Linked DNA regions of Struthio camelus. The protein of the gene in region 4 purifies or fractionates together with the protein of the main gene of each other region. This does not show direct contact. Links are inferred from orthologs where the notes say so. Each region holds a gene or a part of one and is shown on either strand. Other genes may lie near its edges. The genes, in order: SRSF5, MRPS9, NUP205 and ESR2.

Evidence for each region.
Region 1: the proteins of ESR2 (region 4) and SRSF5 purify together in Homo sapiens (affinity purification with mass spectrometry; 3 studies listed by BioGRID and IntAct, with this or other methods). This does not show direct contact. The link is inferred for Struthio camelus from reciprocal best matches to the Homo sapiens genes ESR2 and SRSF5.
Region 2: the proteins of ESR2 (region 4) and MRPS9 purify together in Homo sapiens (affinity purification with mass spectrometry; 3 studies listed by BioGRID and IntAct, with this or other methods). This does not show direct contact. The link is inferred for Struthio camelus from reciprocal best matches to the Homo sapiens genes ESR2 and MRPS9.
Region 3: the proteins of ESR2 (region 4) and NUP205 purify together in Homo sapiens (affinity purification with mass spectrometry; 3 studies listed by BioGRID and IntAct, with this or other methods). This does not show direct contact. The link is inferred for Struthio camelus from reciprocal best matches to the Homo sapiens genes ESR2 and NUP205.

The regions. Positions count from the first base shown.
Region 1 is NC_090946.1:45,282,556-45,290,522, reverse strand, and holds the start of SRSF5 (serine/arginine-rich splicing factor 5), read left to right. Parts: upstream 1-4,953; 5' UTR 4,954-7,967. UniProt on the Homo sapiens protein: Plays a role in constitutive splicing and can modulate the selection of alternative splice sites.
Region 2 is NC_090942.1:154,010,380-154,017,284, reverse strand, and holds the start of MRPS9 (small ribosomal subunit protein uS9m), read right to left. Parts: upstream 3,020-6,905; 5' UTR 2,971-3,019; coding exon 2,887-2,970; intron 1,052-2,886; coding exon 1,004-1,051; intron 1-1,003.
Region 3 is NC_090942.1:54,541,917-54,549,680, forward strand, and holds the start of NUP205 (nuclear pore complex protein Nup205), read right to left. Parts: upstream 3,017-7,764; 5' UTR 2,927-3,016; coding exon 2,899-2,926; intron 1-2,898. UniProt on the Homo sapiens protein: Plays a role in the nuclear pore complex (NPC) assembly and/or maintenance. May anchor NUP62 and other nucleoporins, but not NUP153 and TPR, to the NPC.
Region 4 is NC_090946.1:75,455,624-75,462,950, reverse strand, and holds the start of ESR2 (estrogen receptor beta), read right to left. Parts: upstream 3,006-7,327; 5' UTR 2,868-3,005; intron 2,498-2,867; 5' UTR 2,372-2,497; intron 1-2,371. Other genes in the region: MTHFD1 (C-1-tetrahydrofolate synthase, cytoplasmic), read left to right, coding at 3,195-3,235.

The DNA.
Region 1 (7,967 bases), about 30 Mb from region 4:
AACAGATGGTAGGAAGGAGTGGGAGGCAGCTAGGGGAGTGTCCACATAGTCAAGCAGAGTGATACTTATTTTTTTCATCAGCAGTATTGCACGTAAGTCTAAGATCCAGAAAAACGGAGGGACGCTCACAGACGAGTGATGAAACGATCAGAGGCTAGGAGGACTTACAAGAAAAGATTAAGAGCGCTAAATATGTATACCTTGCCTAAGCAGGGACAACTCAGGAAGGTTTATATAACCATCCAAAGGGAACAGTCGCCTGGGAGAAAAAGGGAGTCTCTAGGCTAGTTCGAGGGGCCGTAACTCAGTGTAACAGGAGGAATTTTGAAAAGCAAATATGGGTTAAAAAGAAAAAGCTTTCCTCGTGAAAGGAGGAAAGGGAGCAAGGGAAGCCCGGCCTCTCAATTTCTCTGTATGTCAAGGGAGGGAAAGGGTTATGCTTTAAAAAAGGCAGGAGGTAGTGGCTGGGAGACTAGGAAAAAACTGAATGCTGAACTGGCCTGCCAGCTTTTTGTCTTCCTGTTTTCTGTTCCCAGACAGAACATGCTTACTAGGAAGAACAACCTGTGCGGGCCGGTAATCCTAAGCGCCATTTGATGTTTGAGTCTGACAGTGGTAACAGAAGAAAACTCTTCTGCCTGGTGGGATGTATGTTTGTGCTGGGAATTAGCAGCTGAAGACATCGGAGGGTCACATAGCAGAATCGGATCCCTGGCAAAGCTGATAATGACACGTAATGATGCGGCTTTATTTAATGCATCATTCACTGTACTAGCCATCTCAGGGGGTTTGTATGAGAGATGGCTTGGCTATTTCAGGGCAGCAGAAATGATGCCAAAGAGAAAGCAGATCTGCACAATCATGTCTTTTGTTCCTGGCAGATGCACAGTCTGGATGTTGTCGTAGGTGAACGCTTAACTCTAGACCAATAGATGTAGTATATTACTGGGGTGAAGAAAAAGTAGAAAATGTGTCTTCCCCCAACGTGTTCAGTCTTCCTAAAACAATGTAAACGTTAAGTTTTCTGACCGTTCTGTTCATGAGCAAAGCTCAAAAAGTGTCTGAACAAAAAATTTATTTTCCCTAAAAGGGACAGTCTCAACTCAACGCTGAAAAAGTAATAGAATCATTGATCTGAATGCAGAATTTGGGAAGGTAGCTGCTCCATCATTACGTCATATCTTAAACATGTAGACAGTTCTCAGTTGGAGATGATGCCGATTCCTGCACCAAGCAAAGAGGTGTTTTGGACCAAGAATGGTGGAAGGAGCAAAGATAAGGCTAACAAATAATTTACCGGCAGGAACTGGAAACCAGCATTTCTAGCCTTGTCTTCTGAAGCTTCCCAACAATCGCAGGATGCCTGAATCTGCAGTTGTTTTCTAAGATGGAACAGGAAAACCCTGCCCCTTTCTGACACTGCAAGGAGCAGCCGCCTCTCTGGCAGGCCCAGTATATGGTGCCTGCAAGCCCGGGGCAGGCAGTGCAAGTGTTTCTGGTGAAGGGTAGTAGTGAAGTAGTGAAGGCAGTAGCTGTGCTGTTTCCTTGTAATGGGCCTTATGCCCTAGCTCGGGGCCAGAGGAACTCCCATCTGTTAGGCTAAAAGTTTGTTAACTTCTGGCACCAGATTGACAGGATGGTGGGTGATTAACTAAAAATATCAGATCCAGATAGATTGCTCCCCTGAACCCGGCTCTGTGACAACCATCCCCTCAGTGGCCTGTTTAGGTGAGGGAGAGAGGAGGCAATACTGGAGACATTTGTGACATTGGGTTACTGCTATTTTGGAGCCTGGCACGCGCACAGCAGCTCACTGCACACTGATGTCAGGGCTCTGAGTTTAAACTTCGTGTGAGCTGACCTTTGCACCCTAGCATAGGCCTTTAAAATCTGCGTAGAAGGTAGCACTGCTCAGTCAAAGCTGGATGCTTAGGAGATGCATGTAAAATCTTCCTCCGACCCTTTTACCAGACCAGCAGGCAAACCAAGGCCTGCAGTTGGACTCTCTGGGCTGTACCACCTCAACTGGTATATCTGCTGGTGTAAATTATTTCCTGGTTGCTGTACATGAGGGTGCCTTGTAGCACCAAATACCAGGTGTGCTGATGGAGCACATCTTGCAGAAAGCGCTGCTGTCTGGTGATACGATGAGCCTGTTCTACTGAATCTTATCTTTCGTTTAAACAACGTTTCCAGTGTTTGTGGCTACAAGGGAAACGTTACAAGTGTGAGTTGTTGTCTTCCTGAGGGCTTAGATGGCTATTGTTTTGGGCTAGGGGGAGTGTGCGTTACAGTGCCCTTCCTGGTTACGCTAGCTCCGCGCTGTTATGTCTATTACATAGGTTGCAGGAAGGTTTAAAGCTCAGTGGCCCAGTGTCATGCAGTGGCATGGTTCCTAGCAGGAAAAGCGCCTCGACCACATAGCACTTTGGAGTTAAATGAGCTGTTGTGGATTCGGTAGTGTGGATACTGGTGAGTAGAAACCTCCTGGACTGAGTCTTCCACTGAATTGACTGTAGTATCAAGTCATATTTATAGCAATACCATGTATTCCTGTATCTTTAAGCAATATGAAAAGAAAGACCTCTTTATTGGTATATGGATTTCCAAAGAGTTACAATGCTTTAATCGCATCTTTTCCAAAATGAATATTGTGGCATAAAAATTCTGTATGTGCTAGGCATTAATTCCTGGATGGTTAAATAGTAGATAAAATTGGAGCTTGCGTTGTTTTCTAGCACGATCTATCAGAAGGTTGAAGGAACCAGGATGTCATTATGTGTGTGTGTGTGTGTGTGTGTATACATATATGTACATATATATAAAACAAGTTTTATCCTTTCCGCTTTGTGCTTACATGTGTAATGTGACAGCATTAGTATAGCTAATTTAAAAGGGCTGTCGTGATTACCACTTAATGAGTTTGTCTGATTTGTGCAAGTTTATTGGTTTAATGTTGTGTTTGCTTAGTGTAACTTTTATATAAAAATAACAGACTAAACTATCTTTAAAATAATAAACTAAACTATCTTTAGTGATGGGACATGCACCATCTTCTCCAGACTAGAAAAGCATGTGAAAACTCGGAGCAAAGCATTGCAGGTGATATAAAGATGAAAAGACTTTTGCAGCATTGATAATACACTCCAGCCTTCTGCAAGGGTTTGACCTCTGTTTCTTAAAGATATCACAAAGCCCCATATACCCCAGTCTTGTCATACCTGGAGGGTACTGCAAAATCCACAGCTTTGTGTGAGGATTTGCTTGTTTGTTTTTTTTCTTCCGGTGGTGGGGGGTTTTTCGTTTTTTTAGATAATCACTTTTCGTGAACTGTGCGGCGCCAAATGTGTGTTTGAGCAGTTACTGTGCCACAAGAAAATTGAGGTCCTTCTTGAAGCTTTGCATCAGAAGGTAGTGCTTGGTGAAGCATCAGCCCTTTCCATCATTATATCATTAAGCAGACGATTTCTCATCCCTTAGATATCATACTTCCTGTTGTCACATCCCAGAATATTTTTTTTCTGTTTCTACAACAGCACTGTACTTGTTTACTTATTTCTAGATGGTAATCCACTTTAGTTCCCAGCCATTACACACATTACTACTACCTGAAATGGGTATTTCCAATTTTGTATTGGTGGATTAGACTTCTCCTTCCTAAACATAGTTTGCCCTTAATCTTGCAGAATTTCATCTTGTTGAATCATTCTTTCCATTTGTCAGACTCATTTTGAATTCTCTTCTTGTCTTCCGAGTATTTGACACTCTTCCCAGGCTGATTCATCTGCATGTTTTAACACTGTATGCTCTATTCTGCTAAACAAATTATTAATGCAGGCGTGCTAAGAAGATATCCCTGATTCCACAAAGGAATTGTTCCCAAGTTTGTCAATGGACTACTTTGAATGCAAACACTGAAAAGGGTGTGTTTCTAGCTTCCAGTGAATTTTATCCTGACATTTCCCTGCTTGCTTAAGAAGGAACCACGTGGCATATCACTAAAATCCTATTACAGCCAAGTTTAACACATCTGTGCTTTTTCCTCTTGCCTGCTAGCTCTGTTATTCCAAGACAGAAAGGAAATAGATTGATTTGAAACAACTTGCTCTTGATTGTGTGTCATGTTGGCATGAGCAGCCTTTCAGTTTATAGACTGAAAATATTTACAAAATGATTATTTGACCTTTTGTTCCATTGCTTTTCTGGTCTTTTAGGTTTAGCTTGCCAGTGTAAAATTCTCTGCTCCTCTGGGAAGTAGGGTATTCAGGATGATGCCAGAGATTTTTCAATGACGGTTTGTCAGTTGCTTCAATGAGTTTCCTAAGGATATTGCAAGTGCTGTCTACTTGAGTACACGTAAACTTTATCCTATTCTTTCCCTACTGTGGCCTACACCCTTCTTAAAATGAATACGGGGTCTCAGCTAAGCAAGAGGTGAAGATGACATGACATATCCAGTCTTTGCAATCTGCTCTCTTGCTAAAAACAAAAATTCTTGCTGGTGTTCGTAACTGGGGCTGTGTAAACAAAGAAAGAGATGGTTTGCCAAATCAAAGATGTGGTATGAACCGAGTTGCTTGGAATTGTAATGGCAGAGCATGGTGACAAGCAGCAGCAGTGTCACAGGCTGCATTTGGGGGTACATCTAATGTTGGGTTAATACACAAAGGAGCTTAGGAGGCCTTCAGGAAATGGCTATGGGCTAGCTGAGGAACAGCTGCACACGATCCTGCAGAAGCTCTCCAGTTACCCTCCGAAAGTTTGCAGACAACTCCGACCCAGTAAAGCGTTTTTGTAGTGGTGCACAACTTGCTCTCACGGGGTCATGCGATTTCCTCACGACTTCTTCAGTGTCTCAACCTAAACATACTGATCCAGTGTAAACTTGTTCTGATTATTCAAATATCAACCCAGGGAGGAAAAAAAAATCTTTTTTTTTTTTTTTTTTACTTTGTACCTGCAAGTATCATGTTGGCCCCGATATCATGTGTCCTTCTGCAGCTGGCATAAATTCAGCATAAAAACATGAAGCTAACCTAAACCCTACTGCATGCACTAGATGATGTCAGAAACATGACAGTGTGTAATGTTGTATTAGCATTAAATCTCTATTGCTATGTGATCTGATAATGCACAATTCTGCTGCTAATGAGCCTTAATTGCCTCATACGGTGGCAAACTGCAGGGACAGAGGCAGTGAATTCTCCAGATCCTAGCAAAGGGGATGTGGTGGGTTCCTGACTCAGCTGCCTTTCTTCTGAGCCACAGCCACTAGCCTAGTCCCAAGTAACAAATGCACACCAACTACAAGTGGCAGGTCTGCAACTTCAGTGATGAGCTACAGATCCATGTGTTAGCGTAAGCTACCTCAGGGACTAGTTGACTGCTGCTGCAGAGCTATAGTCAATAGGATGCTAATTATTATGTTTGGCTGGGAAAGACAGGTGTGAGGAACTGCGTCTAAGCGATTCTAGTATAAGCCAGCTGCAACTAGGTAGGTGAAGCAGTGAGAATCAATTTGAACTGTAGTAGAGTAACCCTCAGTCAGGCTCTCTAACTCTAACTGACTGCCGAATAACACAGGCCTGTGGCAGTAACTTTCTCACTGAATTAGAGTCTACTGAGTTCATCTTAGTGCAAAATGTGTGCTACAGCTAGATATATTTATAGCTGGTGGATAAGGACTCTTAGCATGACACTAACATCTATTTGGTTAGGAGCCACTTGACAGGTTTAGCTTTCCTGAAAAGCGTGTACAAAGAAAAATGGAGTAACCCAGGGAAAAATTTATTTCTAAATGTCTGTTATTCTTTTCTTTCTACCTCAATTTTCATTTTCCTTCTCCAAAGATTTTGAAAAAAGCATTTGGGGCTTAAAGGTGAAATTCTCCCTGTTTAGTTTTATGCCATCTTTCTGACACTTGTAAAAAGTAGCTCTAGAGCCTTTGTTGCTGCTACCTCTCAGAGAGCTACACTTGATCGATCGGTAACAGAAATGTGTTTATTCACAGAGCTTTGGAAAAAAGGGACAGAGAACAGACAAATAAGCGAATGGGGAAGAAGAAAGTAAAGAAAGGTCGGAGGAGAGCAAAATGGGGAAACACAGTGAAAGCAGTAATGAATATGCTCACTGGTAGGAGAATAGGATGCTAACAAACATTTCTGCTTCTGTTCACAGAACCATTGCGGAAGCTGGCCGTGTGCCAAGTATGTCTTTGGTTATGTGGCTTAAACAAGCAGCTTCCCTTGGGATCTGAGGGGCAGTAATTTCTGCAGATGGTCTTCAACAGCTGAAGGTAGTCTCTCTGAATGGGAGTCCCTCTTTTTTTCCTCTCTCCTCCCTTTTTTTCTGTTCCCTCCTTCCCCCTGGTTTATAGCTGTCTGTAGGGTGAAACCATATACCCAGAGCATCCTCCAGAAAGTTATTCCAAAGGTATACTACCAGTTGGTGAAGAACCACTTCCTTTCAGGTGGTTTGACCCTGCATCTTACCAGCTTCTTGTGACGACTTCTAATTCTTGTACTGAAAGAGTCAGTGAACAGTAAATCCTCATCCACTGTCTTTATGCCTTTCCTGACTTTGTAGATCACCAAATCTGTCCCCACTCCTCATTCAGGAAGGATATGCATTCATGGCCTTCTGCTTTAAGTAAACAGTAACAATGGCACAGCCCAGCCAGCAGTGGTCAAGAATTGCGCAACCCAAATATCCCCTCTGATTTGCCTTCTAGTTCCCATGAGCAAGTGAACAAGCTAGGATTTCATTCTGGCTTTTCACTTAGTCTCCCACCGCCTTGTCCCCTTTTTGCTTTCAAATAGTCATGTAGGGTAGAGTATATATACAGGCCTCTAGTAAGGAAGCAATAGTCAGCCTTGAGCCTATTACAGAAGACAGGACATCTTAATTTCAGATAGCCAAATGTATATTCCCTTGCCATTTAACCGATGTTTGATTGTGTAGATTAAGACTGTGAACTACTTTATGGACTAGTGTCATCAGAGGTTAGGCGGCCTTGTCAAATAGTAACGACAGTATTTCACCAGTAACCTTGATGAATTAACTAGACGGCTTTCAGCCTGCTTGTGTGGAGAAATGTAGGTGTTCTGCACGTTTACTAGATTAGCCAGCAGCTAGAGTGATGAAAAGTCCCATGTGGTCAAAAAATGGCCTGCAAACTGCAAAGGGAGAAATATTCCTTCATGTTAACACAGAACATGGAGAAACTGGGTGGAAACAGATCTGTCTGTTAACGGCCCTTGCGTGGAAACCCCATGTGAGTAAAAAAGTGCTAGATCTTCATGTGGTAACACCTCTGGGTGGCATGGAAACCTTTCAACAAGTGATCGTTGCCTCCTGGATCCCCTCCTGACTTTTGCTTCCCTGCTCCCAATGGTCTGAAAATGGATGAAGAAAGAGGAGGTTACTGGCTTGCAGTAACAAAGACAATGCTTTTAGGCTGCAGTTTCACGCTGCTAAAAATGAACTAACAGCTGTTTCTTAATAGGGTGCTGCTGCTCCTTCCTCTCTTCTCTGTGCCAGCACTTGTTTTGATCCCACTGCAAGCTGATTTTCAGGGAGTCAAAGCAACAAATCTGCTTGCTGCCTTTTTCAGAGCTAGTTTTCACTTGTTTACCTCTGTGAACTGGCTCTCTCTCCAGTCAGAAGAGATGCAGTGTTGGCAGGATCAGGACTGCCTGCCTGTTCCGGTGTTACCTGTTAGAACGGTGTAGCTCGTTGTGAAATCACTGCTGTTACATTTTAGATGGCACACCGGAACGTATCTTTCTCATCAGGTAAGGGTTATGATCCACGTGGATTATCACAAGCGTTGTCTTTTATTGCCAAAATTCTTTCTTCTGCTACACATTCTCCTATGTGTGAATCATCTTTCCTTTTCTCACAGAGCCAGATGTCACACAAAACGCAAGTATATATCTTTGTAATCAAAGAGAAAAGCTAGTGATACT
Region 2 (6,905 bases), on a different chromosome or scaffold from region 4:
GTATTTCATTAGAAGGAACTTTTACTCAAATTGAACGATTTCCTGAGAGGTAATTGCAAAGCTAGTATTCTCCCACACAGAAAGTCTACTTTCCGTGCACACTGAACCAAACCCAATATTTCAGGTTTCGTTTATACTGTATGCTATGGAAATATGAGATAGCTCTAAACACAGAGACACATTTCAAGCATCAGGCTTGCATAATGGGGAATAGGATTTAGATCTGGTTGTTTTGAGGCACAAGTTATGAAATACTAACAGGCTTTTCAACTCTAGTTTAGTTACCAACGGCAAAAAAGCTACTTCCAAGCATATAGTTGTGGTATACCGGTGGTATACTGTCAGCAGTGACAAGTGGTACTACCCTTCTGATCTCAGCACATATACCATCCACAGTGATTTAGATAAGGGAGCAGACCCAGCCAAATGCAATAGCTCAGCAGAAGATTTCAGAGAACCATATGAGAAGAATGCTACGCAATCACAACACAAATGACAGACAGTAACCGAGTTAGATCATTTATTTTCTTTATAAATTGGGCTAGATGTCTAATTGTGCTTTGCTTATTAGAAGGATAGGACACAAGACCTATTGTTTAGTCGTAGCTGAGGAAACTGAATTACAGAGTTTCTCTTCCATTTCCTCTCTCAATACAAGAAGTTTTCAAACACAGGAAAAGTCAACAAGAAATTAAACTATTTTCCACATTAAGATGGATGAGAAGTAATGAGTTAAATTCCAGCAAGGGATATTTAGGATACGCATCATAAAGAAGGACAGGTAGGCACTTAACATAAGCAATGGTCACAGCAGGTCAAAGAGGTGTGTCAGCTTAGTACCTTGTCCTCAACAACAGCCACAAAGACAGGACAAACAAGTAGCGATGTTTATCCAGGACACTTCCCTGGTCTCCAACAATCTTCAGTTCAAAGACATGCTGGTATCTTTTAATTTAGGAGTCCTCAATTGAATTTTATTGAGTTTGATTTTTTTTGTACTCACATAAGTGATTGGCATCCACAACATCCTTACAACAGTTCCACAGGTCAACTGCATTTCACATGAAAAAAATATCTGTCAGTTTCCTGGGCCCTGCCTCCCATTAGTTCCTTTCATATCTTTAATTCACAGACCGTACAAAATAGGAAGATTCATACATAGCTACAGGCTTAAGTATAGATCCTGCCTTTTGGGGATGGAAGAAGCAGACGAATGATCTCTCAAGGCCTCTTCGAGACCTGCTTTGATACTGTTTCCTCAATTATGATAGAAAAAGATTTCAGCTCAAATTCAAGCAGGGGTCTGACCAGGAAAACTAAGTTACTGCCATAATCCTATCTTTGATAGAGGATAACCAAAGCCAAACAAGATGCTTAAATTGAAAACTACATCAAGCATTACATTTTCAACCTTATTCTCTTTTTCATTCCTCATACAACTTCAGCATGTGAATTTCTGACGGCTGCATAAGAAACTACTCACATGGACACCAGGTCTTTATCCTGAATGGGTTAAATCTAATATTAGAGGAGAAAAGGAGGAAAAAAAAAAGTAAATAGTTCAATTTGCTCCTTCCAGTATTACCTTTCGCATACCTAACAGACCTATCTTCTGTTACCCCATAGTCAGTCACTGAAAAGTTCTTCAGCCCTTACTATCCTAAATTTCCTTGTAACTTCAAAATGTTACCAGCTTGCCTTTATATCCATTTTTTGATCACTGAATTAAATATATATAGGTATATCAAATACCACAGACACAATTATCACTTCAACACTGACAGCAGTTAAGCTATTTAATGAATTGGTACTCTGTTGAGGACTGGTGTCTCTCAAAATAAGCAGATAATTCTCTTCAGTGAGAAACTGCTGCATCTGTGCAAAACATTTCTCTCTCCATTGCAGGAATCAGGAAATTGCATTATCTAGCTATCTGCTGACCAAACACGATTCAAGACAGTCAACCTTAAAAATTATTGTTTATTCAGGAAAATCAAAAGTACTTTTACACATGTTTAGGGCCTTGCTCTATACATTAGCTTTCCTAATTCTAGTAACATACATAAAAACAGGCCCTAACTACATAGAAATATTAAGAAAAAATAAGTAGGTTAACTGTAGGACTGACTTTAAAGTGGCTGGCTTAAAGCTGTGCTAAACACTTACATGTGTATTTACAGTATGTCTTTTCTTCCCAGTAAATACATTTCATGAGTTACTGGGAGGTGAAAGCACACAAGTTTTAGTTTGGCCCGCTCTTACTGAGACACAAACGCCTCACTTTGGTGCGAGAAGCAAGCATATGGGCAGACAGCTATAGCAGGCCAGCAACCACACTGTAAATCCTCGCACCCATTAAACCAACGCAAATTCTGTGCACGCTCCTAACTGTTTAAACCCCGTTTACACCAACCGCCCATGCCCTACAATGCCACCGCTGAACCAAGCCACGCAGAGACAGAGAGCAGTACAAAAACTCGGCACCACTGCGGACCGACAGCTGCCCCACTGGGAGGGGGCACTCCGAGAGAAGAGCGGTGTCACCCCGTCTAGGGGAACACCCCCCCACCCCACCCCACCGTGCCCGCCAGGCGCTCGGCGCTGCCGCCCCGCCCCCGCCCAGCCGCGCCGGGGACGCGAACCCGCGGCGGCGCCTCGCCAGGCCGCTCCCGCCCGGCCCGCGCCCGCCGCACCGGGCTCGCCTCCCCCCGCTTCGTCTCGGCAGCCCTGCCCTCATCCCCGTGTGAAGGGGAGAGCGAGCTGCCGCAGCCCGGGCCCAACAAGCCAGCTCCCCACCCCCGCCAGGGCCCGGAGCGGGGGCAGACAGCACGAAGGAGCCGGTTTCTCGAAGTAGGGCCCAGGTGCTCGGCCCGGCCCGCCTCTCACCTGCGCGCGCGGCCCGTCCCGCGCCGCCGCGCTCCAACGGCCGCCCAGACGCAGCACGCGCCCAACGGCCGCTACCGTCGCCATGCCCGCGGCACCCCGCGCAGGCCGCCGGGGAGAAGGCACAGCGCCGCAGCCGTCGGCGACGGGCCTGAGCGCCGCTGATTGGCTGGGGGGCGGGGCCTGCCGCGCGCCTGCGCGCTGTGGCGGGTGGGTGTCTTCCGTGCTGTGCCGCGGCAGAGCGGCCGTTAACGGCAGGAGTTTGTCGTGCTGTGTCCCAGCACCTCGGGGCCGCTCCTGAGCGCGGCTGAGGGTTGCCGCCATGCGGCCCGACCCCATCTGGGGCGAGGGTGGAGGGCCGTGCTGAGCTCGGCGGCGGTCCTGGCCCTATAGCGCCTCAGTCAGTGCCAGTGGCTATTTTCGCTCCGTAAACGACGGCAGAGCCCGCTCAATTTTGTAACCCGCGTTTAGATTTTAAGGTGAAGGCCAGGGGCTTGCGCGGGCGTGCAGGTGCCGCCCCTAGTGTGCTGACATTCCAACCATAGAGGGCTTCATTTGCTTTCAGTCTCAGCGAAGGGGGAGATAGCGGTTTTTTTTCTTTTTAAAAAAATTACCCTGTTGAAGGTGATACCGAGTGTAGTTACTTAAAGCAGTGGTAAAACAGGTGGTGTAGTTAACTTCCATTCTCCAAACAAAAATGATAAACTGTGTTTTTCTAGTTTTAAGGCCCCGGAACTAGATTTTTACCTAGGCTCTTGTTTTTGTTGAATATTTGGCTTATGCATATCTATGTATTGAAACTTGAAATGTATTTGACAAGTAAAGCACATTAGCATTGTTAGAACTCTGCCTGGTCTTTAAAATTATGGTGTGTTATTTGTATTATGGTAGGACTGGGGACCAAATCAGCAGTAGCCGTCAGGCATACTTACATAAAATTGACTCTGCCCCAGTGAACTTCCAGTCTAAGGAATAAAGCTAAAAAGAAGGTGTCTTTTTAAAGTCGGTAGTGTTGTCAATTGTAGCATACCTGGTGCAAACCTGCTACTCTTGAGAGTTGAAGCACAAAGTATATTTCAGCCTAGCCTTGCTTTTTTTTTTTTTTTTTCCATATACAAATACATATTCTGTTAATCACAGTTGTCTCTTGCCAAATTGGGTTTTGGGATCAATACTGTTGCCTCCCAAGGTGACGTTAATCTACATCCTGAACCTTCAGGATTTGAGACGGTTTATTGTTTCACAGAGTTATGTAGTATATACCTTTACAGGTGATCAGATTTTGGCAATAGTATTTTATATCACAAAAAAGTGTCTGGAAATGAACTAAAACTTTCTTTTCTTTTTAAAGTTTGTTCTACTTCAGACTTATCAGGCCATATCTTTAGGAGCACTTGTTATTTGACAGGAAATTCTGCAGATGAATCTCTTGCTTTTCCACTTTGTTTTTTTCAGCCTGTTCACTGGTGGCTCTTGCTTCCTTCCATTCAACTGTGAGTATGATTTCCTTCCTAGGATGTAAAAGAAGGTATAAGAAAACCAGAAATGGACAAGGGAATCCACCCATGCGGGGAGGTCAAGGAAAAGCTGTCTGGAAAGCCCTGTTTATGGTCACCAACTGTGAAAATGAAACCATCAGTATTTTTATTGACATGGATACAAATCAGTGAATGGTATGAATTCTGCACTGAGTGAAAGAGGCAAAATAGCTCTGTTTTATGCTCACCTGACCAAGGACTGGGAATTGTCGCCATATTTCCATTAACACACTGTGTAGCGATTGTGTTTGGTTAGCAGCTGTTTCTTCCAAAAGGGGAGAAAAGGAGGTTAGGTTAGGGTTAACAGTCCCGGTGACCCACCTCCTGGAGTAGCCGGCAGAGCTGAAGGGGTACAGAAAGCTGTGGATAGCACAGCCTTTTCAAGGACTGTGGTGAGTCTACCATCTGTTGCCTCATTGCTTGGCTTTGTTCAGCAGCTGAGGAGTTCCTCAGTCCTCACTATGCTAAGCAATTGTTACCTGTTACTACTGGCAGCAATATAGAAACAATGTGCCATGGGAATTAACTGTTTTCTTTCTCCAGACATGATAAGCTGTTAATTAAATTTGAGTAGCAGGGCCACCTTATACATGCATTGGCCACAGGTGTTTCGAAACCACTTGATATAAATCCAACTCCCCGCATTCCCTAAGACTCCATCTACACCAGTGGCCACTGTGAAATAAAACTAAATGTTACTGTAGTCTAGACCACATTTTCAATGATGTTTGGAGTCTATATACAGCCAATGGTTTCAGTATGAAATAATATGAATAATACAAATATTTTATGAATATAAAATTGTCCTTAAAAATTGCTGAATGAAAGGAGACCTCAGTATATCTGGAGTCTAGTGTTCAATGATAATGGCCATATTTTGTCTTTTCTGAATCTTTAGAGTGATTAGTTCTTATAAATTTATGGCTACCCATTCAAGATGAAAGATTTTGATAGAAGTTTCCTACAAATCCTTGGATTCAGGTACATTTCCCAACCATCCTGCTGCTGTCAAGAAGTTTACGTGGGTAATACTTGGCCCTGGAAGATTTCTTCTACAGCAATGCCTGGTTTACCAGTTTCTAGATTGGGCATATAGCTAAATACAGCTGAGTGTAGTTATTCTTTGGCATGCTTTGATGAAAATGTGCTGTCATGTTATTGACAGTGTATGTCTGGAACACACTGTTAGTGTGTTCCAGAAGGATTCTTTCTAGTGGAAGAATTGCCACTCCTGCAGGAATGAGTCTGTGTTTGCAAATTAGAAATCACTTTTTAGCACAAGCCAGGCTAAGATAAAAGTGCATGGAAGTTATTTACATGCTCAAGCCCCTGCTTCCCCAGCCCTCTCTCAGAAGTTTATTAAGGCAGAGGGAGGGAGAAAATACAGAAAAACCATGTCTAATCTACTTATCCCAAGATTAATTCCAAACGCTTCTCTTTCCATCTCTGTATTTAGTTGACAGACTGTAGATGCTTACCTAATCCATGCAAACTATCTTGATACTTGGCTTAGCCCTCTGCACATCATTAGCCTCCTGCGTGGCAGGAATATCCTTTTGAACCTAGCTGGGCAATGTTCAACTCCTGGAACTCGTTCATGTTGTGAACCTTATTACCCACATAGTCATGTAACTTGCTAATCGTACTCTACACAGTCACATAACTGGGAGCTGCTGCCTGCAGCACGTTGCTGGCTTTTATTTTTAGACTAGATAACGAGCACATCATTTGGGGTAATAAGAGCTTTGGAGTGCTATCTTTCAAGGACGGTTTGACACTAAGAAAACTGGTGCTTCTGTGTGCTGGCCATGAGAAATTTGAAATAAAAAATCACTAAATACATAAAAGGAAACCAGGATGAGCTTGGCATGTGCATGGGTAAGGGGATAGCCTGAGGAGGATGTCCGTAGTTATATGCTGAGCGCAAACTCAGGGCTGTGCTTCAGTTCAAATTTGCCGACTGCTCACATTGCCAGCCTACGTGTAGGCCGTCTTGGAGTGAGCTTCGGGGAGTCGTTTCGTAGTCAGAGGTAGTATTTGTAGATTTGTAGCCTGAGTTCTGGTGACTGATATAGCTAGTGTGAATACCACTTACTTGAGGAACAGGTATCCCTGTAGCAGTGACAGAGATGTATGGAGCAGGGTCAAAAAGCGTACTGAGTTTCAGCTTATGGCAGCATAAATGCAGCCCTGATATTACAAGAATGGCAGTGCTGGGTTAGACCAAAGCTCTGTTGAGCCTCTTGGCTTGAGTGTAGCAATGGGCAATATCAGATACTTATGGAAGAGCAAAGAGGCAGAACAGATATATGGAGATGCTTCCCTGATACCATCTTCTGATCTGTGATGACCTGAAGGTGGGGAGAAAAGGGGAAGCTTTCATAGAGGATGTAGCAGGATCTGCTGTCGTGCAATGGAGTAAGCTAACCTGCAGCAGAGAGAAAGGGACTCCAGAAGACAGAAAAATGTAATAGGAGAATTAAA
Region 3 (7,764 bases), on a different chromosome or scaffold from region 4:
ACTACTGGTTTCAGTCAGTTTTACCACTACCTAAGCAACCTTGGAAGCAGTAACAAACTCTGCAGAACTTCGCCAATTTTGTTCTGTTGCAAAAGGAGGAAGACATCAGGTAAAATAGGACTAAAAGCAAAACAAAAAACCCTCTCACCCCAAACCTAGCACCAGCAAAACTAGCATCTCACATGCTAGCATTTACTATACTATAAAATCTGCCAGTGGAGTTGTATCTGGGAGAACAGTCTGCAAAAAAGACAGGTCCTTGTCCTTTTAAAACATCATTAAGCAGCATTTTAATCATACAATGTTACCCCCGCCCGGATAAATTCATTAAAAATAGTTACTACTGGACAAACAATTTCACATTCCAGATTGAAGTTAAAAGTGGGAGAACCAACTACAAAGTCCAGAGATTGACTTCTACCCTAAATAGTCTTTTCCAACCATCACTCCTATTAGACTATATAGTCCAACGAACACCAGCAGCAATCCATGCTGCCTGCCAAAAGCTGTTCAACTGCTTCCCTGCCCCAGCTTTTGCTCTTGTGCCTACAATGCAATTGCTTTGCGCTAGCCCAAATACTTGTACTGTCATGCACTAGAACAAATTAAAGATCAAGTCTAACTGAAAACTATTCCAGAAGAGAGTTTATTTTCAGTAGGATCACCTCTCCAATCTGGTTTGCGCTGTGATGGCACAAACCGCTAGGCTACCACAAGGATGGAGTATTGCAGAGAAAGGAACGAGCAACTGGGGATGGAAGAAAGGTTGGATCACTGCATTTCTTTTAGCAACCATGCTGACTTTTGCCACTTATGACGTTGGAACGATTACAGTTTTAAAAGGACTGACAAGCGAACAGCAAGGAAGGACAAGCTGAGTTGCTGCTTTGGGAAGCAATGCCAGTTTATGCTTATGCTTGAAGTTTTTGCCAAACTATAGACTTAACCACGTTATGCTTGTCCCCGCAAACAGGAAACTGTAAACCAAGGCAACATCTCCATCAGTTCTAGTGTCATATCTACTTTAACTTTTATCTCATCTTCCATGTATAACAGCTGCCACCTCTTCCCTCATTCTTCTTTAAACTGTATCGCTACAGAATCTCTTGCCATGTATTTTCTACAGCAAAGTCAAAATGAAAATTGCAATAGGTCAAATGAAATTAAACACCCACATTTCATGTATTGAGAAACACAGCCATAATCACCCTTCCCCCGCCCCCAAATAGAGGGGGGGGGGTTTACTTTATTCCTTTTTCTTTTTGTGAGGGGGTAACCGATTCAGTTGGATCAAAATACCTTCCCTGCAACAAATTACTCTTTATTTGGTACAGAAGTTGAGCTTTTAAAACTTGATAGCTGAATTAGCTCACTGTGCCATACAACACCTTAGTTAACAGACCTTTTGGCCCCATCCATGTTCCACTCATGACTGCTTCTTCACTATGTTAGATTAATATAGGGATAACAAATACAAAGTTCAGCAAAAGCAAATGCAAAGTCCTGCATCTGAGAGAGAATAACTCCATGCAACAATAAAGCTGGGGCCAACTGGCTAGAAAGCAACTTTGCAGAAAAGCACCTGCACGTCCTAGAAGATGAGAAGCTGAGCACTACTCAGCAGCACACCCTTGCAGCAAAAAAGGCGTTGACACACTGAGCTGCATGAACAAAATGACAGGGAGCAGGTCTAGGGAAACGATTATTTGCCACTGTCAGGCAACTCTGAGAGTACATCACTCCAGTACTGGGTCCAATTTCTGACTCCCCAGAGCAAGAAAGATACTGAAATAGGGGGCTGAAGAACACCCCGTATCAGTAGAGGCTGAAAGAACTGGCCTTGTTCAGTCTTAAGAAAAAATGGCTAAAAGGGTGAGGGGAGTTTTTGTCTCTCAGCTAGTTAATGGGTGAGTAAGGAAGATGGGAGACTCAGGCGCCTCAGGAGATGAGCGGCAACAAACACAAGCTGCAACACAGGAAATTCCAAGCAGCTATTGAGAAAAAAAGTGAAACCACTAAGAGAAGAGGGAAAATACTGCAACTGAGGCCCAGAGAGGCTAGGAGATCTCCAGCCTTACAAATGCTCAAAACTAGCCTGGACAAGCCCCTGAGCAACCTGACTGAGTGGGTCCTGTTTCAAACTGTTTGGACCACATAACCTCCACAGAGCTCTTTCAACCTAAATTATTCTCCATTTATCCACTTTCCCTCCCATTTTAGCCAAATCCCCCAGTTACACTGTTAAGCACCGCCTCAGTCAGTCACAACCGCTCCTTGCGGCCAACTTTCAGGTCAACTAAGTCATCCTGCTGCTCCCGAGCGCTAGCAACGCCGAGCACAAGATGAACCAGCGCAACGTTTCTAGACTGCTCGGGGTAGCACCGAGCAAAATTCAACATGCGCTTCTTTTTTTCGTACTTTATTGCGCACAGCGTTAAGACAATCTTGGCTTTGTTTGCGAGGCACAGAGCTACACAGAAAGGCGCACGCGTTACGCTATCACAGACCGCTCCGAGCGAAGCTTGCCGTTGCCGCCCACGTTTACTGACTTGATGGGCCCCCGCTCCCGCTCTCAGCCGAGCGAGGCGGCACCTCCGAAGCGCAGGACTTCGCTCCGCCGCCAGCCACCCGAAAGGCCTGGCCGCCGCCGGTTACCCGCCGCAGAGGAGAGGGCCTACGCCGAGCCTCTCCTCCTCCGCTGGCAGCGGCCGCCCGACCCCCAAAGCCACCCTGCTCGGCCCGGCCCGCCTCGCCTCCCTCCGGGGCGCCGCCCGCGCCGCTCCCGGCCCCGCGGGGCAGCGGGGAGCCGCCGCGGACCCCCTAGGCGACGGGGAAGACCGAGAGGAGCCGCGGGCGAGGCGGAGGAGCCGCCGCGGCCCCGCGCCCGCCGCCTCTTACCCGAATTTACCGCCAACGGCGCCGCCATCTTGGAGAGCAGCGAGGCGCGCAGGCGGCGCCGGCCCCGGGCCCGTCAGCCCGCCGAGGCGCCCGCCGCGCTGCCTCCCCCGCCGCCGCCGCCGCCGCGGCAGCGCCACCCGCCCCGTCCCGCTCCGCTCCACCCGCGCCGGATGGGGCGACGACTCCCGCAGCTGCTCCCGCAGCCTCGCTTCTTCCCTGAGCCGCCGCCGAGCGAGCGAGCGAGCGCCGCCGGCCCGACAGCCGAGGGTCCTGCGGCGGCGGCGGCAGCGCCTGCTGGGACTTGTAGTCAGGGACGGGGCGGGGAGTTTTGGGTTTGTTTTTTTTTGTGGTGGTTTTTTTTTTTTTTTCCTGTTCCGGATTTGCCGCTTCTGTGTGTCCGTCCGCTCCGGATTGGGGTTAACGCGCTTTCCAGGCGACTACCGGGAAGGGAGCGGGAAGCGGGTGGGTGACAGCCCGGGAGGCAGCCCCGCGCTCGGCCGCCGCCGCCGCCGGCGGGATGTCCCTCCTGCCCCGGCGGGTGTTTCTTTTCCCCCACCCTTTATGCCGGTCAGGTCGAAGGGAGCCTTTCCTGCCCCGCCGCGTAAGCCGTGTTGTTCATTAAATAAGGCAGAATGTCTGAAGGCAGATATTGCACCAGCAGGTAAATTTATTAAACCTGTTCCTTTTTTTTTTTTTTTCAATTACAAAAATACACTACTGTTCTTTTCCTCCCCCCCCACCACCACAACCTGAATGGTTTCATTTTCTGTAGCATCAGACTGATATCTCTAAAAAAAATGAAGTAAATCATTTGTAAGTCATTTTTATGGCAGATGATCCTTATTTAAAATGCAGATAACTAAAACAGCCCTATTCACTGATAAGTAGTAAACCGTAAGTTTTTGCTCAACTCTGTGAGCAGGTGCGTGGCATTTAAAAGTCATATATTTATTGGTCTTTCATAGTGAGCTAGGGTTTACAATCTTGTATAGGAAAAAAACAGCCCTCAGAGGGAATATACAGAGGAGAAAGCTGCATTTAAACTCAAGGTATGCACAAGAAAAAAAAAATACCGAGGATGAAGAAAAGAAACTAAAAGGACGTTTGTACATGCGTCTGGAGCTAAAGAATGAATATTAGTATCTAAGAAGTCTCCTATATCTGAAGTCAATTTACATGTGCTATGCCAGTAGTAATCTCAAGTCACCTCCAGAAATTCCCTCCTGTATTACCTCTAAGATAAAAGGTTCCACTAAAAGTATATATTCCTTTTAGTGCCAGTAGTTTTCCCTCTTGAACTTTATTAAAACCATATTTCAGCAGTTGCAAAAGAGGGTCCAATGAACTAGACCTACGGGAAATTGGCAAAATAAATATCTTTGCCTCGCTAGATCTTCAGTATAATGGGATAGCAGAGGGGTAATATAGAGAGAGCAGAGGCCCTGGAGTGAGAGCGAATTGGCAAGACAGTTTCGAGAGACCAAAACCAGAGAAGTAGCTTCACAAGGATTAGTCAGAAAAGAAAGAGGAGAGAGAACGGGAAGAAAATTAGAGGAAAAAAAAAAGTCTGTCCTGTCAAGAACAGGTTCTTTTAGAGTTCAAAGGATGAATGAGTTCTCATCAAGTTGGCCTCATTTGTTCATTTAGTCAAAGGGCTTATGTTTCCTTGAGATTTCCCTTTTCCTGGTCTTAGCCATTAGCCAGTGCGGGCGTAGCACAATGAGGAGTTAGAAGATGATAAATAGTGAATTGTCTGATTCTAGGAAAGAAATGGTGCTAGGCACGAGGTGAAAGTAGAAAACAAGCAGGTTATTCCACAAGCAGTAGGACTAACACAGCCTGGGTTCCTACAGACTTGTATACGGCATCTCTGTATCTTCTTCTGTACCCTGGTCATTGCACAGCCCCAGCTCTGCTCCTGTTTTGCCCAAATGCTTGGACCATGAGAGAGAAAGAGTAAGCATGCATTACAGTAAATTCAAAGACACGTGTGCTGATCACCTGGCGAGGGCAAACCTCATGGGCAGCTTGAAGTTTTGCTTCAGCCTTTCCATCCACGGGGATCCTAATTTAGCTCTTTTTCCTTTAGTTGTTCCCTGATTTTCATGAAACTTGTGAGGACATACATTTTTGAAGCCCTTTAGCCTCTGATCAGATTAAGTTGGAACTGGGCAACAGGTTCAGAAGTTACTGGAAAAGTTGGGCAGACAAAGAGCGCAGTTTCCTAAGCTTGATTTCCTTAAGAAACAAAATTTAAAAAAAAAAATGAATCAATTCTTTAAAAAAGCATTTCCCAGGCATTAAGAGCTGTCATATTTCTTTTGGCATTCAGTTGGATCCAGCTTGCACACACTTTTTTTTTTTAAATCTCTGTTGGAGGAAAAAATCCGGTCTAACCACTGCAAATTTAATATTTTAAATTTCCAGATAGTTCTTTCTTGTCTTTGCCAATTGGCCAACAGTGACAGAGCAGCATCGAGAAAAAAATAAAAATGGAAGTAGAAGATAGTATGGGGTAGATCACTGGGCAGCTGAACGTCAGAAGAAAAATACCACATTTAGCTCCAGCTACATAACATTTTTTATTCCCAGTCTCTCTGTTGGCAACATGATTTTCTAAAAAAACAGCTTGCCGCAGAACAGTTGTGGCAGTACAGCTCCTAGTACGGATGAAGAAAGAAGGGTGTCTAGATAAACCATACCATACCATACGCTGTAAACATTTCTGTTGGCCTAACTGCATTCGTCCGTGCCTTGGTGAGTAGGCAAGTCCATGAATAGTAATGCTGGCTTATTCTTGCTTTATTTGCTGTCCTTTAATTTAGGATTTTATTGTTTATCCAGGATAACTGGCTGGTTTGGTAGACTATTTTTGCCAAGACACTACATAGGGAAAGAATACCACATTCCTCTTCCTAACAGTAGTTCTCAGGAAGTTCTCCAATACTGCTGGGTTCAGTGAGGGATGCATGCCTCTTTCGTCCTTAATTAGGAAATTGAAATCTGTTAAGTATCAAAGGTAGGCTGACGCTAAATACCTGAGATGGATATTAATTCCTCTGAATTCCAGAGACAGGAGGTCATAGTCTGCCTATAGGGTAGTGTTCCTGCTTGTGCTGTGTGAGATCTTCATATAAGAGATGTTATTTTCTGCAGGTGGAAATAATTGCTGGTAATAATCAAAATGAGCTGCAGAATGAAAACCTGATCTTTGGCTAGAGATTCTAGGTGCTTTGTGATGTAATACAAATGTAGCATTATTATTTTTAATAACACTAAATTTAGTCGTTATGTTTCATGGCCAAGTCACACATGAAGATACGGAGATAACAATGAAGATCCTGTAATTTCTTTTCTTTACATTCTATTATGATTAGGAAGAACAATTATTAGTAATAAAAAGTGCATTACTGTAATGCCTAGGAGGCCATCCTTAATTTCCTACCTTTAATCTTGAGTGTCACTGTGATCATAGCCTGCCCGATGGAGTAGAATGAAAATTAAAAAGCTTTTCTGCATTGTAGCTGAAAAAGATGCCTTGTAGAAGTGCTTCTACATAAATACAGACTAGCCTTTACATTGTGAAATATGCTTCTTTACTCAAAAAAATGGAAAGCATTTCTGGCAACTGATTAAACAATAAAACTTCTTTGAGCTCTCATGTTGACTGAAACTAACACTGTGCCTCTCAGCTTACTCGTCTGTAAAAATGGGTATAACACTTCACAGTAGGCCTGGAATGCTGATCAACTGGATCTTTAACCCCCGACCCTATCTGAAAGGGGGGGGGGGAAGAATGTGCTTTTTAGTTATGTTAACTCGGCTGAGTAAAAACTCTGAGTTCTGTCACTGTGCAGGCTAATTTCCCAGAAAACTACTTAGCTGGCTGTAATCCTGTCTTTATTGCAAAAAAAAAAAAAAAAGGTGCGTTTTGTACATCAAGTTAGCTTGGTGTCAAATCTTAGAAGAATCAAAGTATAAGACCTTTCCCTGCAGTGATTCTCAAAAAAATAACTTTGCAATTTCTCTGTTTTCCATCCTAGATATTTCTGCTGTCACCATGGTATCTAAGCTCATCAGAGAAACTGTGTGAGGTTGTTGCTAGCTTGGATAAGTAGTTTATCTAGTTCAAGGCAACAAAGAGCTAAATGTGCTCCCAGTTATATGAATACCTTCCTCAGGATCTGGGAATGGACAGAGAGGAGGTGAACAATGGTGAACAAGTGCTGTCCTTCTCATGTCATTTAGGACAATTACTGACCTTAGGTATCTGATCATAAATGAATGTCTTGATAAACAGTAATTTTCCTGGGTCTCTGGACCCTGATCTCTGTTCAGGCTGCAGAGGTAAAATTGCTGCATGCTGTTTTGTGAACCACGCGGGTAATTAACTTTTTCCTAATTCTTGCTTTGGGGTCCTTAGACCTATCTGTCTTTTTTTCCTTTGTTCTCTATCTGAGAGTTAAGAATAGATTTCAGCTTCTCTTTTCTAATAATTTCTTCATTCAGCTTCTGAAAGGAATGAGGCAGCTACTAGCCTGGGAGATAATCTGATTATTGTAGCAATGTAACTGCCAATAATTAACAAGAGTTGGAAAAAAGTGCAACAGGGAAAACGGTGGAAAGACAATGTACAAGCAAAGTGGAGATATTTGATCTAGTAAGTAGCAGTGTTGGCACATCAGCTGCCTTATTGATATTCATTCTGTTCAGTGATTTCCATATCAGGTTTACAGATGGTTGATGTTTTTGCTAGTTGTCAGTCCCACAACTTCAGGCTGAGTTCTGAAAGTCACATGGAGCTCTTTCCAAAGCATGTTATGCCAGTTGTATAGACTCTGCAGGCTGTATTATGCACTTGCCTTA
Region 4 (7,327 bases):
TAATTACTTTTCTGTTCCTCCTCCTTTATTGGAAGTGAGCAAGCTGGGATAGAAAGATGCCCTGTCCTAACTGTTCTACTTGGTGGGTAAAGCACACTCTAACGTTCTTCCTTAGTTTGCTGATAAAAGGTCAGTTCCTCAGAACAAATTGCACCTTCTGGGGCTCTGTGCAATCACAGGCTCAGCTGTTAGCTCACCAGTAACAGAGAGTCTTTCTGGCGTGGATTCTGCAGGCTTCATGGTTTTTTTAAAGAGCAACCTTCATGACTTTTGACATGTTAGGTAAGAGGGGGGTGGATGTAAAGGTAAACAGTCATACTGTGGGAGCTGCAAACCCAAGGATGCCTGGGAGGTGAGGGAAGTAGAACAACTGTCCTGGGGCAGCGCTCAGAGCAGAGACATCTCAGAAATCCTGCAGCTTCACGTTCCCCTGAAGCGGCTGCTTTTATCCTTCTTCATCCTAACAAACAGCCTTTAGAGGATAAGTCTGCTTTGGTACAACACAGACCACTCAGAGCTCTCCGTTCTTATCATGGCATTAGGTTTTTGGTTTTTTCCTCACCCTTTTGTGTTAACATGGTCAAAAGAAGTGTATTCAAAGCATAAAACAGTGATCATCGCTCTCGACTTTTTACATATTTTCACAACATTTGTCTCCTTTGCCACTGTGCTTCCTTGCGATTTCCTTTACATGATAGTAGCCCCAAATTTTCTGCTGCCATTTATGAGCTGGATACAGCTTTGACATGAATTGAGCAGAGGGGTCTGTTCAGCCATTTCTCATCACCCAATCCCTCTTCCATGGGGAGGGTCCCATCCCATTCCTAGTATTTTGACCTCAGGATGACAATCAAGATTAAACATTAAAGAAGGTGTTCTTACATAAAGGCATGACACCCACAACTTCTGAGCAGCAATCTGAGCTTTCGTGCCTGACTAATGAGAAAATTTAGGAATACAAAAGATATTTCTCCTATGATAAAAAGCAGTTTAGTAAGTCTGATTTTCTGGCATAAGCATTTAAAATTCATTCCCAAAAATGAGTCTGGCTTAAAAATCATGAAATAAGAAAAAGAAGTTGTTTAGGGTTATTTTTACTTCCCTTCTCATTTTTTAGACAATACATTCAGGTCATTTTCAAAATTTTATCTGCCACCGTGAGAGCTAAAAAATTACCTTTTTATCTAAAATTTCTCCTGAACACATTTTTTCAAGAGCTGGAACACTGAGAAAACTAGCATATGCTATAAGACTCACAAACACACGCACACACAAATCATGCAAGCTAGCCACTCTGGGTAGGAAACCAGAGCTCCTGATGGCACCAGCTTCTGCTCACTGTGCAAATCAGGTCATCCGAACGAGATGGATTTCTTCTTTTTCTTCTCCTGCCTGATATTTTTGCACTGTAAGTGTCAAATCTTGGTTGGCAAAGCTTGTTTTTGTAAGCTGTTGCTGTCCTGAACCAAAGGAGTGTGTCTTCTGAATTCTTCTAAAAACATAGGTTTTTTTCCCCCGAAAGTTCATTCAGGGCTCAGATAAAGGCAACAGCAAAAACAAACGAAGCACAGAATTTTAAGCAGCCTAGGAAAAAAATCCCTTCTCTCAGTTAATTGTCTAATCTCAGTTTTAAGTGTATAATTTTACAACTGTTGGAATGCTCCGGGAAATAAAGGGAATATATAATGAAAGAAGTTCTTTCTAGCTTTTTCTATTTAGCATATAAAAGCTCCAAAATGCAAAATTTTACCTCTTTTCCATGTCACTTTTAAAGAGAAATTTCTAACCTCTGGTCTTATAATTGCAACATATTGTTAACTTAAGATGCTTTGACTGCTCAACAGACAGCGAGTTCTCTCCTCGCTAAAATGAAAGCTGGGGGGGGGGGGGGGAGGAAGGCAAAAGAGCCATAGCTATGGAAGGACGGAAATCAAAGGAGAAAAGCCTTACCCTCAGACAAGTTTTGAACTATGTATGGATTTTATTCCCCTCCTAGAATCCCAGACAAGCAATCCTAAAGCTTCTGTGGCTGAAGGACCCATACGTGTATCTCAGAGCTTTGTGTCCCAGAGGGAGCCTGAGAGGCTTGTACTTCTCCCTTCTCAAAACCTGACAGTTCCCAAACCCACTTGTGAAATGATTACCTTGCAGCAGGACTGAATGAACTTCCTTTTTCCAAGCCCTATATGAAGCAAAAATCTAAGTTACGGGGGGGCACTTTGCGAGTTCCCTGTCCCTGACCTTGTTAGCCGGGGTTTCTTGCATACTGGCCCCTTCTCTGACCGTGTGCTAGATCTTAGTGGTAAAAACTGATGGGCTCCTCAACTTCTCTGGGTCCTGACTTCACTTTGCCTGGGCAAGCCTGCCTCACCTGTGACATGTGACTGCTTTTCGCGTCTCCAGCTCTGGCTTGACCATCACCACACGTTTGCTGTGTGCTTGAGAAAACCACTGAAAGTTCATTCTCTCAGCAAGGTCCTAAAATGTCTGTACTAACCTGCAGAATAAGGAAAAGCACTGGTTATAGAAGTAACAGCAGGCATGGAGAAGCACACACATCTGAGCAGCCAGCTGGATGGGTAACTACATGTTCCTCGGTCCCAAGGGGATAACTTACTGCAGGCACGTCCCTCGGAAGAGGCCACTGGGAGCTCATTTCTACCACCCGCAAAGACCTCACTGAACCTTAGGGCCAAAACCCCCCTCTCCGCTACCCTCTTTCTGTGCCGATTAGACGAGCTGGGTGACCTTCTGCCGGACAAACGCGTTGAAACGCCCGAGCGGAGGCAGAGGCTGCTTTTCCACCCTCCCCGCTCCTCTCACAGCGCCTGCGGCCCCCACGTCCCGCCCAGGCCCCTTCTCCTCACAGCAGGGGCGCGCAGCGCGGCGCGGCCGCCATTTCGCGGCGCCTCAGAGCCCGCGCTCCTCAGCCCAGCGGCGGGAGGCGGCCGGGCCGGCGCCTCACGGCGGCGGGGCGAGGAAGGGAGGAGAAGGGGGAAGGGAAGAGGAAAGGAAGGGGAAGGGGAGGGGAAGGGGCACGGCACGGCACGGCGGTACTGCCGCCCCGCGGGCGGTGCTTGCGCGGCCGCGCCGAAAGTTGGTGGCCACGTGGGGCGCGGAGTAGGGCCGCGGCGGGGCCAGCGCTGCCCGCAGTCGCTCCGGGATCCCCGCCGCGCTCGGCCGTCGCCCTCACCATGGCCCCCGCCGAGATCCTCAGCGGCAAGATAGTCTCCGCGTACGTAGCGGGGCGACGGGCTGCGAGAGCCGCCGCAGCGCCCCGGGGAGGGGAGGGAGAGGCCGGGGCTGCCCTCGCCGCCAGCGTGCGGAGGGAGTTTTCCCTTCTCCTTCGGGAGAGCGGTGCTTGTGGAGGAAACCCGTGTGTCAGGGAGAAGGAGCCGCCCGGAGGCGCCGGTTGCCCCGGGTCGGGGCCGGGGGTCCCGGGCGCTGGCCGCGGAGGGGGCCGCGGAGGCCTCGGCCGAGGGTGTGCGCTGCGGTCAGCGCGGGCTGCCTGGCGGGGAGCGGTGGGTGTTATTAAGCAGCCTAGAGAGAAGCAGTAGTGTTCTTGAGGATCTTCAGGAATGTTTGAAACGCTGTCACGCCGGCCCCGAAGAAGCTCGGCCTATCTCGTCCGCTTGGTTTTCTGTGGCACCCGGCAGCCCCCGCCCCGGGGAAGGCCTTGGGGTGGCTCAGCATCCTCCTGGGCGCGGAGGTGGGCGCCTGCATGGATGATGGCCTGCGGCGAGGTGAAACGGCGAAGTGATTTCTAGCCTTAGGTATTTGTGCAGCGCTTTAAGGATCCTTTATGGGCAGGAGTCGGGAACTTGTTTCGATAGGTCTCTGTTTTCATATTATGCAAGCGTGGGTCACACCTTTTTGAATCAAGATAAGTTAATCCGCGGACAATGTTTAAAACATGGACAATGTTAAGGAGGGCTTGCTTTTAGGCGTTGCTGAGAACAACACATCTACCCCCGACTGACAGCGGAGCATTCCTAAAAACTAGGCCTAAACTGTTTGGAATCTGAATATCCGTGATTAAAGGCTGCTCACGTGTTTTTTCACCCTGTAATTGTTGAGCCAATTACTAGAATGATGGCTTGGGTACTTCCGTCTCTGGCTTGTGTGCTTCGTCTCTGGCTTGTGTGCTTCGTTGGACCATCGTGCTTCTGGGAAGTCTTGAAGCCAGTGAATCCTGCCTGCCCTGTGTCTGGTACTGGTAGAGCTTAGTGATTTGCCTTCTGCAGATTTGCTTCTTCTGGCATAGAAATTGCTCTTGAAGTGCAGTAGGCACTCGCAAGGTACATGTTATTGCAATTTTAGCCTGGCTAGAAATCAGGAAAGGTAGCAACTTAGGTAGGATGAGTATGTTTTATAGATAGCCTGAGCATTCACTGTAAAACTTCTAGCTTCCTTGGCAGTATGGTGTTTTGTCTTTTTTTTTTTTTTCTCAACATTTATAGATACAATGGGGAGATATTTCACTTCTGCTGCTGCTTATTTTCTAAATTACGTTAGCAACTGTCTTCAGAGATTAGGACTTTTGTGATGTGCCAATACCTGGGAAAAGGCACATGCTTTTAGTACGTGCATAGAGGAGAAAGGATTATGTCATTTCCAATGAAATGTTGAAGTGTTTGCCTGAAACATATCTCAGAGGCATCCAGTCCTGAAGACCATAAGAAATGGAAAAATAGTTGCAACTGTACAACTGTTGTTCTTCAGTTTATTTATTCCTACTATGGTTATGTCCAGTATAGCAAAATCATAGTGTGCTCTACAAAAACTGGGCCTTAAGTATTTCTTCTTTTTGCCAGTAGAGTACGTCAAGGAGGTATGAGGAAAGGGACTATATACCCTGCAGATATCTTTTTCTTCCAGATCCTCTAGAGAAATAGTGATCCAGAGAACTCTTACTGTCCAGAATGCACCCACAGGCCAAGAGTCTGTCAATAGAAAAAATGATAGGCGTGTGGTTTTTCTAGGAATTTTCAACTGAATTGTCTGTTATAAAGAGGATATTCCTGACTTCATAGTCAACTGAATGGCTTATTCAGTGACTATCTTGTAGAGTATTTTTGTCTGTTACTTTATCCTCTAACCAAATAAAAGGGGTTGTTTGCAAGTCGGTCGTATATTATCAGGTGAGGTGAATCTATCAGCAGTGTACCAGCTGCAAAATTCTAGGTTTCTCTGTGTATTTTAAATGAGAACTGGTAAGTATTGTGTATTGTCTTCTCCTGCCACCAAGCACCTCTTCCACAAAGAGAGGTGAAGGAAGTTCCTAATTCGGAGTCATGACAGTTATTAAAAAAAAAAAAAAATCAGGTAGATACTGACATACTTATTTTTGTGAAACGTATTTAAAGAGAGGGAAAAATTGTGTGTGTGTCTGTGTATGACAGAGAGAAAGAGAGAAGAAGAGAAGCAGAGAGAGAGAGAGAGTGTGCTTCCTTGTTCCTGTGTAGCAGACCCCTACATAAGGGAAATAAGGAAAACTCGCTGAGAACATAAGGCTAGTTTGTACATAGAAAGTCTTGAAGGGCTCAGAAAAGGTCCAAAGAAAATCATCGTATTCAGTTTTTCTTTGTTTGTTTGCTTTTTTAAGTATTACCTGGGAGATTAGTGAATATGGTTGTAAGCTGTGCATGGGGAGGACAGCATGCAGGACGGCAGGCCACTATTGTGTGTGCAGGATTTTGATGTTTAAGTTAATGCGTCTCTTGCTAAGGCCGTTTCTTTCAGTAGAAACAGCCTCTAATACCTGAACAGTCTGCAAAAGGTACTGAGAGCTGGGTAGTTATCTCTGAGTGACTTTTCACAATATCTCTGAGTAGCTTTTCAGTAATTCAGCCTTCGATTTTGCTGCAAGTACAATTTTCCTCATGAGCAAATGAGTTGCAAAGGATGAGTTATTGTGTAACAGTACAGTAAATAATGAATTAATCCAAATGAGAAGGACAGTGCTTTAAGTGTACAGAACGTGGAGGGTTAGGAGAAATGAACATGCAGTATGCTCAAACTTCTTTATTTATGATAAAACCTCTCTGTTTCTGTATCTGAAATAGATGCTCAGAGCAAAGCTTCGGAGTAGCTCTTTCTTGCAGCTTAGGTCCGCTGCAGTGAGCAGTGTGTTCAGTCATTTCCCCAAAAGCAGCCTAGGTTTAGAAAACGCCCCATGCACTGAAAGCTTTGGGTTTGGCTTGAATTGGTGAATAGCACCAGGAATGGATCAGCAGTCCTGGTCTGGATTAGTGGCTGATAAATGGTGATGGCAGGGAGAACTCTGAACACGCCACCCGGCCCTGAGGGGTAGGTCACCTAGTGCTTGCTTTGAGGTAAAAGAAGTACTAGATGAAGTGATGGCCAGGCTAAACTTATAATTGGAGGTAACAGTGCAGTAGAGACAACACCTAGCTTTTTCAGAGTGGGATTGAACAGTTTTATGGAGCTGCTTTGGAAACTCAAACTGAGCCTAGTGTGAACTGAAAAATCTCCCATATTTGTGAGATATGGCTTTCTAGATCCTACCTAGAAGGTTTCAGGCATGCATCAAAGATACCACGCTTTGGATTTATTAAGCTAATGTGAATTGCGTGGTGCAGTACAGTCCTATGCCACTGAGCAGCCCCAGATATGAGCAAGAACCCATTGTATCAGATGCTGTACAAGCACAAAATAAAAAAAAAAAAAGGACCCTGCTCCAAAGCGGTGACAAGCTTAAAAATAAAACAAACTTCTAGTAGGCAGCTGCGCCCCAGTGCTATGATCTCTGCACATCAGAGAGATGGTTACATGGAAAGGGAGAGTCCTTAGTGTTGCAGCCATTATGCAGTTGCCACCTTCAAGGAGTTATGCAGTTGCCACCTCCAACCATTTTGGCTCTACCCTCAGTTTCTGCTTATTCTCCCAATTCAACTTTGAATATTTTTCTAAACCAAAAAAAAAGTTTGTTGTGCGTAATAAAGGTACAGCTTAAGCTGGGTGCCTCCACAGAAGGACCTTGCCCACAAGTTCTTGCTTGTATTGATCCCCTTATAACCCAATCGCAACCTCCCCCCCCCCCCCCAATCATAGTCTAATCCCTATTAACCAATCCTGCAACTTCTCTTATTCATTTCCTTGTGGTCCATTCGTGCTTTCTGTTGCTGGCAGGGGGTTCTTTAGGTTACCTCTGTGACACTTATCTGCAGTCATTACAACGTTCCCTGTTCTGTAAAAACAGGCTCCAGCTGGCCTTGACTGTGGCCACTAGTACTTTGGTTACTAGTGCCAAGTGTTAATACTCTTGCTCTTTTCTTCTTCTGTTAGGGAAAGTACGTGTAGGGGA